Linked DNA regions of Mus musculus: regions 1 and 3 are each reported to be linked to region 2. Evidence: microRNA targets listed by miRTarBase, many of them from high-throughput screens and not tested one by one. Region 2 holds a microRNA gene; each other region holds the end of a gene's coding sequence.
The links. Region 2 holds the annotated microRNA mmu-miR-7b-5p (UGGAAGACUUGUGAUUUUGUUGUU, at 1,761-1,784, opposite strand). A microRNA usually pairs through its seed, bases 2 to 8, with sites in the 3' UTR of a target mRNA and lowers its output. Matches are read on the target gene's strand: a 7mer-m8 pairs with bases 2 to 8, a 7mer-A1 pairs with bases 2 to 7 and ends in A, and an 8mer does both.

Region 1 (3,000 bases), not on the chromosome of region 2:
ATCACAGGTACATTTGTTCTAAAGAAATCCCCTTCTGTCTGATGAGTCCAGAGAAAACTTGGAAATCCCAACCCTGCAAGTCACTCAGCACAGGGACGGGATCCCAACATGGAAGTACGGGTGCAGGCTGTGTGCTCCAGCAAGCGTGTCTATCTCTGTGCAGGGTGTGCTTGCTGGTGCTACCCCTCTCCCCATGCACGCGCACATCCAAGCACACACACACACACGCACGCACGCACGCACACATACACACACACACACACCTAAGTGCTCATGAGGCAATTAACCATAATCATCCATAAACTTTCTATGTTCATAGACATAAGGAATGAGGAATCTTCTGTTCACACTGATCCATGCAGCAACCTTCCTAAACTTCTCAAAAAATAAAATGCTTAAAAAAAAACTATGGAGAGCATTACTATAAAAATAAGGTCACCGAAGGTTCCATATTCAGGTGACCCAGCCTCTAGCCAAGTTGACTGCTACTGAGGCAACCTCTACACCAACATGGAAGCCCTGACTTAGCTGCCAGAGACAAGCACCCCTTCCAACCAAAGCCCCAGGAATTCAATGGGGCTGACAAAAGATACAAAGCTCACCCCCAGTTGACAGAGCCCAGAGAGGTCCTCGTGCCCTGCCCTTTGACCCACACTGAACAGAAACACTCTCACAGATTCAAGTCGGGCACACTCAGGCAGAAAGAACTTTTGTGGTTTCTTATGTACACACTCAAAATCTTTCCCACCACAGAGCCTTCCAAGCAAGAGCACTCCTGAACTGCCTGGCCCTTTCTGCTTTCCACATCTGCTTGGTACTGAGTGCCTTCAGTGACAGCAGAGTGGCTTCCGCAGGTTTCCGCAGGCTTCCCGGGCCTCACCCCGCTAGTTACAGAGAGCATCCTCAGGTGAATGGCCCCAAGACAAGCTACATTATTTCTACATTTTTACACATCATCACAGCCCTGCTTCTCTACAAGAAACATGAGGAACTAACTTAAAAATACACTTATTCCCTTGTAACCAGTCTTAAATGTACAACACTCTTCACAGCACACAGCTGAAGTCTTTGTGGGAGAATACAGCAGTGCCCATGTCTTTAGGTGACTCAGTTATTCTCAGGGGGAAAAAAAGGAATGGTTCCCTAAGCAAAATAAAGCAAAAGACAACACTGCCTCAGTGTGGCTGCTTCTCTTTGACATCTTCCCTCCTAGGAAGACAGTTTACTTCTACAATGGACTTTCCCAACAGTCCCAACAGATACAGAGAACGTTATCCTGTAAGACATACAGAGAAAACTCGGATGGCAGACCCTGCTCTGACACACAGACCACTCCTCACCCCAGCTGGACTCGTCACCAAGCTCCTGTATTTCCTGATAAGCTTCAGGTAGACCCCTGTTCTGCAGAGCACACTCCAGCTGAAATGAAGGAGAGGGACCCCGTCATCCCTGCTGCTGCTGCTGCTGCTGTCTGGAGCTGCTGCAGGTGTGCTCTCTCTCCCCCAGTCCCTGCAGCTCCCTCAGGATCAGTCAGCCAGTGCCAAAAAACCAGGCTGCTGAAAGCTATAGTCTGTGTCCATAACTGGCAACCCCAGCCCCTAAGAGTCCCCTGCAGTCCTCCCCACGCTTCAGTGAGGACATCCCTTGTACAAGTGTAACTGAGGCTCAGCGTACATCGCAGAGGTGCGTGAGGGACAGGACAGGCTGTGAACGTGGTCCAGTCCTTCGGGTTTTGCATATGATGGTTTTGCATCAGTCACTGCAGGTAGATTGAGCAAGCTTTGTTTTTGTTTGTTTTTATAAACATGCATTCAACTAGATATGATTCAGAATAGAGTAATACTCCCTTTTTATCATTACAGTTAGCTAAAAAATTTGCCAGGCAGTCCACAAAACAGGATTTGCTTTAAAACCAACCCAGAGTTAGTTGGAGACTAGCGAGCTGGGACCTGCTGGGCTGGGGCGCAGTCATGTTTAGCTAAGTGTCGGAGCAGTAAGAAGAAAGTCCTGGTTGGAGGCACAAGGCCTGCAGCACCAGCTGTGGAACTCAATGAAGTGACTGCACAGCTCCATCCTCAAATCTGGGAAAGAATAACAACAGTCAGACAGGCTCTTGGCACTTGTGCTTTACCAGTTCCAGAAGGCAGCGGTACCCAAAGCTGCGCCACCTGGTTCCCACCCACCTTACAGCAACACCCTGTGCCCCCTGCCCCATTATACCTGGAGCCCTACACACTGCACTACAGAAGCAGCAAGACAAACAGTTAGCACTCAATGCCCCCCCTCCCTCTTCCCTTATTGGATGTCCCAATAAGAATAATGACATAATGAGGTAAGGCCTAGGGTGCCATTCGTGGGCGGGTGGGCCGAGGCTGTAAGGGAGGGAGGTGAGCAAGGAGGGCAAGCTGGAGAAGCAAGCCAATCAGCACCCATCCTCACGGCTGTACATCAGTTCCTGCTCAGACTCCCGTTATGATGGGTTGTAACTGTAGTCACTGTAAGCCAGGCCAAGCCACTCTTCCTTTCCCCAAGGTGCTCTCGCTCAGTGTTGTGCCGTATCAAAAGACAGACAAGCATACTAGACCAGTGCTTGTATCTAGTCAGTCTTGCAGTCTCCTCAGAGAAGTGCACCTCAGCAGGGCCCACCTAGCCACAGCCTTCACTAATACTCACATTAATTTGCAGGGCAATCACCACTGTGGGGGCACATAGCTGTAGGTGGGTGTTCCTGGGGCTCGGTATGTGGGGACAGTGACCGGGTGAGGGGCTACAGGAGTTGGAGAATGAGCAGTCAGCAGAGTACCTGGAAGAAAGAACACTTCATAAGGAAGTACAAGCGACTGCTAGAGAGCTCCATCATGTGGTCTCTGAGAGCACATCCTGACCTGACTTTCTCTGGGGAGGCAGGAGGGGAGGGAAGAGGAATGGTCTTGGTCTTGAACCAGAAGGGTCAAACCTCCAAACGGATTATCCAAAATGATGAAAGGCATTATTAGTGCA
Region 2 (3,149 bases):
GAAAAGGCCTTTATCAGGTATTTTCATGATTAATGATTTAAGGCCATTGTGGGTGGTGCCATCCTTGGACTGGTGGTCCCAGATTCTATAAGAAAGAAGACTGAGCAAGCCAGGGGAAGCAAGTAAGCAACCAGTAAGCAACACCCCTCTATGGCCTCTGCATCAGCTCCTGCCTCCCGGTTCCAGCCCTGACTTCCCTCAGTGATGGAGTGTGGCCATCATTGTAAGCTGAATAAACTCTTTCCTGCCCTTTTCTTGAGTCAAGGTCCTGTCACAGCACCAGGATGCACACTAGGACAGCTGGGGAGAATTGCACAGTGGGGGATGGTTAGTGACTGCATTAGAATGTCACAGATGATAGGTGTTGAATGTTAAGAATGCCATGACCCACCAGACAACAAGTCCACATTTTCTTGGTATCAGTCATGCAACTAGTGGTTGCTTTGTGTGGCGGGCACAGAGTTTTATTGAAAATTGGGCTGGGGCTCCATGGGTACCGTACCCAGTCAAAGCATTTGAAATTCTGAATCCAACACCGTGTATGCTAGGCATGGTTCTCAGGGACTGGAGGCAAGAGAACTCAGTGTTCAAAGCCATCCTGGGCTACATTCAGAGTTAGAGAAAAGCCTGGACTACAGGTGACACTGTCTCAAAGCAGGCAAAGTGAAAAGAGTGAGGAAAAGAAAACAAGAAAGAGAAAAGAATTTCAGGGTTTTCTAGAAGTACCTTTGATGCCAATCCCTCTTTTAAAAGTTTTATGGCCGGGCAGTGGTGGCGCATGCCTTTAATCCCAGCACTTGGGAGACAGAGGCAGGGAGATTTCTGAGTTCGAGGCCAGCCTGGTCTACAGAGCAACAGCCAGGTCTATACAGAGAAACCCTGTCTCAAAAAACCAAAAAAAAAAAAAGTTTTATGTATGCACATGCTTTTAATTCAAACACTCAGGAGGCAGAGGCAGGTGGATCTCTGAATTTGAGGGTAACCTGGTCTACAGAGTAAGTTCTAAGACAGCCAGGTTTATATACAGAAACCCTCTCTTTTTTTTTTTTTTTTAAATGTAATTCTTTTTTTTTTTTTTAAAGATTTATTTATTTATTATATGTAAGTACACTGTAGCTGTCTTCAGACACCAGAAGAGGGAGTCAGATCTCATTACAGATGGTTGTGAGCCACCATGTGGTTGCTGGGATTTGAACTCTGGACCTTCGGAAGAGCAGTCGGGTGCTCTTACCCACTGAGCCATCTCACCAGCCCCAGAAACCCTCTCTTAAAAAAAAAAAAAAGAAAAATTTTTATGTGTGTTTATTTATTTGTGTGTGGAAGCATGTGTGTCACAGGACATGTATGGTCAGAGGACAACTTGCAGGAGTTGGTTTTATCCTTCTACCCAGTTGATCCTGGGGCTCAAGCTTGGGTTCCCTAATTTCAAAGCACTCTTTCCCTCTGAGTTACTCCACTGGCTCACCATTCCCTATTTGAGTCTCCAGAGAAAGCACGGTGCTGTGACCCAGGGCCCTGAGGTTGTGTCTCTGATCCTATCATGTAGATGTGTTTGAGTGACAGGCCAATAGCATGGGAAACACTCCTGCACTCTCCCAGGGCCCGAGACCTTGCTAGACACCCTCTCCTGTCCGTGCTAGACTTCCCTTAACCCCCTCCTGTCCCAGTTTCCTGCCCCTACCTGTTTGTGTATTTCAGGAGAAAGGTGATAGGAGTCCACGCTATGAGGCTGGCTGTGACTTGTTGTCATATCATATCAGAACAACAAAATCACAAGTCTTCCACATAGCACTGGCTCACGTACTCCGCTCCTCGTCCTCATCCTCCTCCGCCAGGTTCAACACCCTCAAGTGCTTCTCTCTCTCTCTCCATAGAGGATTGAGCATAACAAACCCCACTCACTGACTTACCCTCCCTAGACATCCCTTTTCCATTCCATCCCCTGAGACACAGGCAAGATTCATTCTCTACCTGCCCCCCAACTCACACCCTGGCACATCACCAACGTGGGATTTATTGTTCCAGGCACGAGGAGCACACACTTGTCACCCCAGCACGCAGGGAGTAGAGGCAGGAGGATGAGAACTTCAAGATCATCTTTGGCTACACAAGGAGTTCAAAGCTTGGTCTACAGTGTTTTAAAATAATAATAATTATATATATAATTGAGAGAAAAACTCTTTTTAAAAATAAAAAGAACTTGAGATTTAAAGTTGGATTGAGGCTGGCTTTCCCCTCACCACTTCACTTTGGAAATTAGTACACCCAGAGGCACTCATAACATCTCGTTGACCAAATGCTTCGCCTGTACTCTGTGAGTTTGAAGCCAGCCTAGTCTACATAGTGAGTTTCAGAACAGCTAGAGGTACACACAAAAAAACCCTGTTTCAAAAAAGAAAAAAAAAATCCCTCCGTAAAGGACAAATGCCAAGAACCATTAAGAGGTTCCTTCCCTGTACACTCTCCGCCAGAACAGACCCCAAGGCGATCCCTGAAGCTGGGTGTTGAGAGCTTGGCACTGCCAGGGGCCGGGTGCTGAAGCCTAGTCTCTTCGTGACCCGCTGGGAGCTGTCCGAAATCCTGGTGCTGAAGCCGAACTCTGCTCCGAGTCCCTCAGCCGGATGGCGCTGTCCGCGTCTCCAGTGCTGAAACATAATTAGTTATTGGGGGAGGGGGTGGTCAGTGCGGCTCGAGGACACTCTCCCAGCTTCTGCCTTCTGCCAAAATGCCCCGCTCCTTGTTTCTGTTCTTCGTCCTAGGGACCCATCTTCTGTTTTAATCTCTTCCCATGGACCCGGGGTGTTCTAGGCGGGGACGAAGGCGCAAGGCTCTCACCTGCTCCCACATCTCAGGGAGACAGCCCTGGGTTCTCTGCCCTTCCTAAACAGTCCAGTTGGCCTTCTGGAAGATGTGCCAACTTGCATTGTACCCAGAGTCCCCGCTTCCCTCCCTCAGCGCACCTTTTCCTCCTTCCTTCGTGCCTTACCTTCTCCTGCTCACCAGCAGCTGCAGGTGTCTCGGTGGCTGTCCAGTTTCCGACGTTTCACCTTTATGCGCTTAAGGGGAAGGCGGAGCGCTGGAAACCCTGGGTGGGGCTTAGCCAGTGAACCAATAGGAATCGTCTTGGAATGAAGCTCCAAGGATTACCT
Region 3 (3,000 bases), not on the chromosome of region 2:
GGGGGGCGCCTGTCGCGCCGGCCATCCTTCAGCTCACACCATCTCATGCCATGCGACACTCTGGCACGCCGTCGCCTGTCTCGCAGCCGCGCGGAGGCCGAGGGTCCGGGCGCGGGTACGGCCCGGGCGTGTCCCCGCGGTCCGGAGCCACCGGGCTCGGCATCGTCCAGCAGCCAGGAGTCGCTGCGGCCCCCGGCGGCCGCCCCGGCACTCGGCTCACGACCTTCGCGCGTGGAAGCCCTGCGGCTACGTCTCCGTGGCACCGCCGACGACATGCTGGCCGTGCGGCTGCGGCGCCCACTGTCGCCCGAGACGCGGCGGCGCCGGAGTAGCTGGCGCCGCCACACAGTGGTGGTGCAGAGCCCGCTGACCGACCTCAACTTCAACGAGTGGAAGGAGCTGGGTGGAGGGGGCCCTCAGGAGTCCGTGGGCGTGCGACCGCACAGCGACAATAAGGACTCTGGCCTCAGCAGCCTGGAGTCCACCAAGGCACGGGCCTCATCCGCCGCATCACTGCCATCTGGGGACCTAGGGGCCCTGCAGGGTCTGCCCCAGCGCCGCTCAGCTGCCGCCCGCCTCCACCAGTGTCTGTGATACCCTCCCCTGTTCCGGGGCTGCAGAAATTCCCGTCTCGTTTGTGCCCCCCTCAGCCACCCCCAGTGCTGCAGAAGGTTGGGGGTGGGGTGTGAAGGGCGGCGCTGGTGTGGCAGGCTGGAGTTAGGTGAGGTGGGCAGAGAAATCAAAGCCAGACCGAAGTGGGAGTCCTCAGGAGAGGGGAGGGGCTATTGGGAGTCATGTCCCTTGGATGAAGAACCGAGTAGCCCTTTTCTGTGAGTCTACTTAGGGACCCTTGGTGACCCATGCAGTGTGGGTGGACCGCCCAAGTTTCATACAGAAGGAAAAATACAGGCTGGATTTAGGGTCTGTCCTCTGCCTCCCCCCCCAATAGCTCCTAGCCAGGGAGAGAGGGAGGATGAATGTCTGAGGAGCGGTTATGTGGGGTTGGGTGTCCATGGGAGAGGGGGCATGTGTGTGTGTGTGTGTGTGAGAGTGTGTATGTGTGTGTGTGTGTAGTCACAGTGCAAAGGTGTTTGTTACCAGTAGCTATTTCTACCCCAATTCTTTTATTTTCCCCGCCAGGACCCTGCCTTTGGTGCACACAGGCACCTTAGCCCCAAGTTTGTCAGAGGCTGGGTTGAGGCCACTTCCACAGAGGCAGGACTGAACCCCACTACTACCGGAGTCGCTCCTCACATCCTTTGCCGACCTCTAAGTCACCCCTCTAAGCTCTCTGACCTGTGGATCTGTCTGGATCCCCTTACAGCTGGCATCTTCCTCCTCCATGTTCACCCTGCATCCTTCGGCAGCTTAGCATGCGGACTCGCCTTCAGTCGGGAGGAACTCTGTCCGGCACTGATGTATAGAGTCTCAGCTGGGCTGTTCTTGCAGGGTGGGTGGGACCAGCTTCTCTTCCCACACATTGTAAATAGACCTAAAGCACTAGTCCCCCTCTGCCCTCACTCATTCCAGGGGAGCCCCAGTGGGGTGACCTGCTCTGCTGCCCAGGTCTGTCAGTCTTTCGGGTTTATGCAAAGATTTGCTGTAAAGTCTCTCCCCCCTCCCTTTCACTGTAAATATTGTCTCTAATGTGTAACATATTATAAAGAATTTATAAGGATTTTTAAAGATGTTTTGCTCATTTTAAAAAGTGTTGTAACAGTGTTGGATAAAGCCCCCCACATCTGCATGGCTCCTCCCACTGTGTCCTTGACACACCTCTCTAGGCTATAACTAAGATTCCTGCTTCTGAAAGTCTTGTCTTAAAAGTACAGTCTATATCTTGGAAATAAATGGCCTTCCTCAGGCATGAACCAGTGTCTCGCTTGTTTGGATGGGGAGAAGAACAGAGCAGCGCTGGGAGGAGCTATCTGAGGGATGTGTCTCGGCAAGCAGGGTAGCCAGGCGGAGTGGCAGGATGCAGGGAACCACTTCTCTCTGGTGGCTTTTTGTGTCCTAGGAGACTGGTATGAACAGAGAAAGTCGCACAGGATGAGTGGTGCGCTGTCCCCACCCACAGTGCTGTCCCCACCCACATCCTGGGATCGTCAGCAGGAGGTTTCCAGGCGTCTCCTTGGCAGAGGCCAGGTGTGGGAGGCTCCTTCTTTCTCATGCCTTCCGAGTGGCCTCAGGCACTAACCCACAGGCAAGAAACTTGGCCAGCTGTGGCCACAGGCACCTCAGGCCCAACAGCATTTAGTGTGAGATTGACCAATTTTTTTCAACCATGTGTAAGCCCACAGCACCCTCAGTTATGGCTCTGAAGCAGCCCTGTACCCTTGGGAAGCTTGGAACTGGTATCCCTGAGTGCTCAGAACCCACCTCCAGGGCTTTGCCCTGAACCACATCTCCAACACTCAGCTCAGGGCCATCACTATGTCCTTTCTGGGTGTGAGAAAGCTGAGGCACTGAGAAGGATGTGGCTTGCCAAGGTCACCCTGTTAATAAGGGGTGGATCCAGAGAGAAGCTAGGGGTAGGGGTGGGACTCCTTTCTCACAGGGTGACCTGCAGACAGTAACAGACTCTAAAGATGAGAAGGTCAAACGAAGATACGTCTAGACGAGGAAACAATTCTTTGCAGGCAGAAGATACGTCTAGATGAGGAAACAGAATTCTTTGCAGGCAGAAAGGGCCTTTGAGCTGAGGAAAACACACTGGGTGGTAACTTGAACCCACACAGAGGATAAATACTGTGGCCATGGGGAATAGAGACATGTATTTTTCTTGTTTCGCTTTAAAAGAGAACTCAGCTGCACAAAACAATAATTGCAAAAGCATTGTCCATAAGGTGTGGTTTGTATCATATTAACCACATAGAGGAAGGGGAGAGATCTACATTGGAGCAAACTTTGGATTTGTTTTATTTTGTTTTATAGTCAGGGTCTCACTATGTAGCCCTGACTGGTGGAACTCATTGTGTAGATCAGGCTGACCTCAACTTA

Region 1: miRTarBase lists Fam168b as a target of mmu-miR-7b-5p. Seed matches in the 3' UTR shown: 7mer-m8 at 1,213-1,219.
Region 3: miRTarBase lists Arhgap23 as a target of mmu-miR-7b-5p. The part of its 3' UTR that is shown has no 7-base or 8-base seed match.

What each region holds. Positions count from the first base shown.
Region 1 is chr1:34,815,324-34,818,323 of GRCm38, forward strand. It overlaps Fam168b (family with sequence similarity 168, member B), which reads right to left. Exons shown (of 7, transcript NM_174997.2): 6 at 2,674-2,803; 7 at 1-2,081. The coding sequence ends at 2,691. Among named protein-coding and RNA genes, the nearest start is that of Gm32790, 24 kb to the left of the region's middle.
Region 2 is chr17:56,241,652-56,244,800 of GRCm38, reverse strand. Mir7b (microRNA 7b) reads right to left here and starts at 1,813; the gene lies at 1,703-1,813. A230051N06Rik (RIKEN cDNA A230051N06 gene) reads right to left here and starts at 3,085. Exons shown (of 2, transcript NR_155493.1): 1 at 2,987-3,085; 2 at 1,996-2,645.
Region 3 is chr11:97,500,532-97,503,531 of GRCm38, forward strand. Arhgap23 (Rho GTPase activating protein 23) reads left to right here. Exons shown (of 19, transcript NM_021493.2): 19 at 1-1,869. The coding sequence ends at 594. Among named protein-coding and RNA genes, the nearest start is that of 4933428G20Rik, 1.7 kb to the left of the region's middle.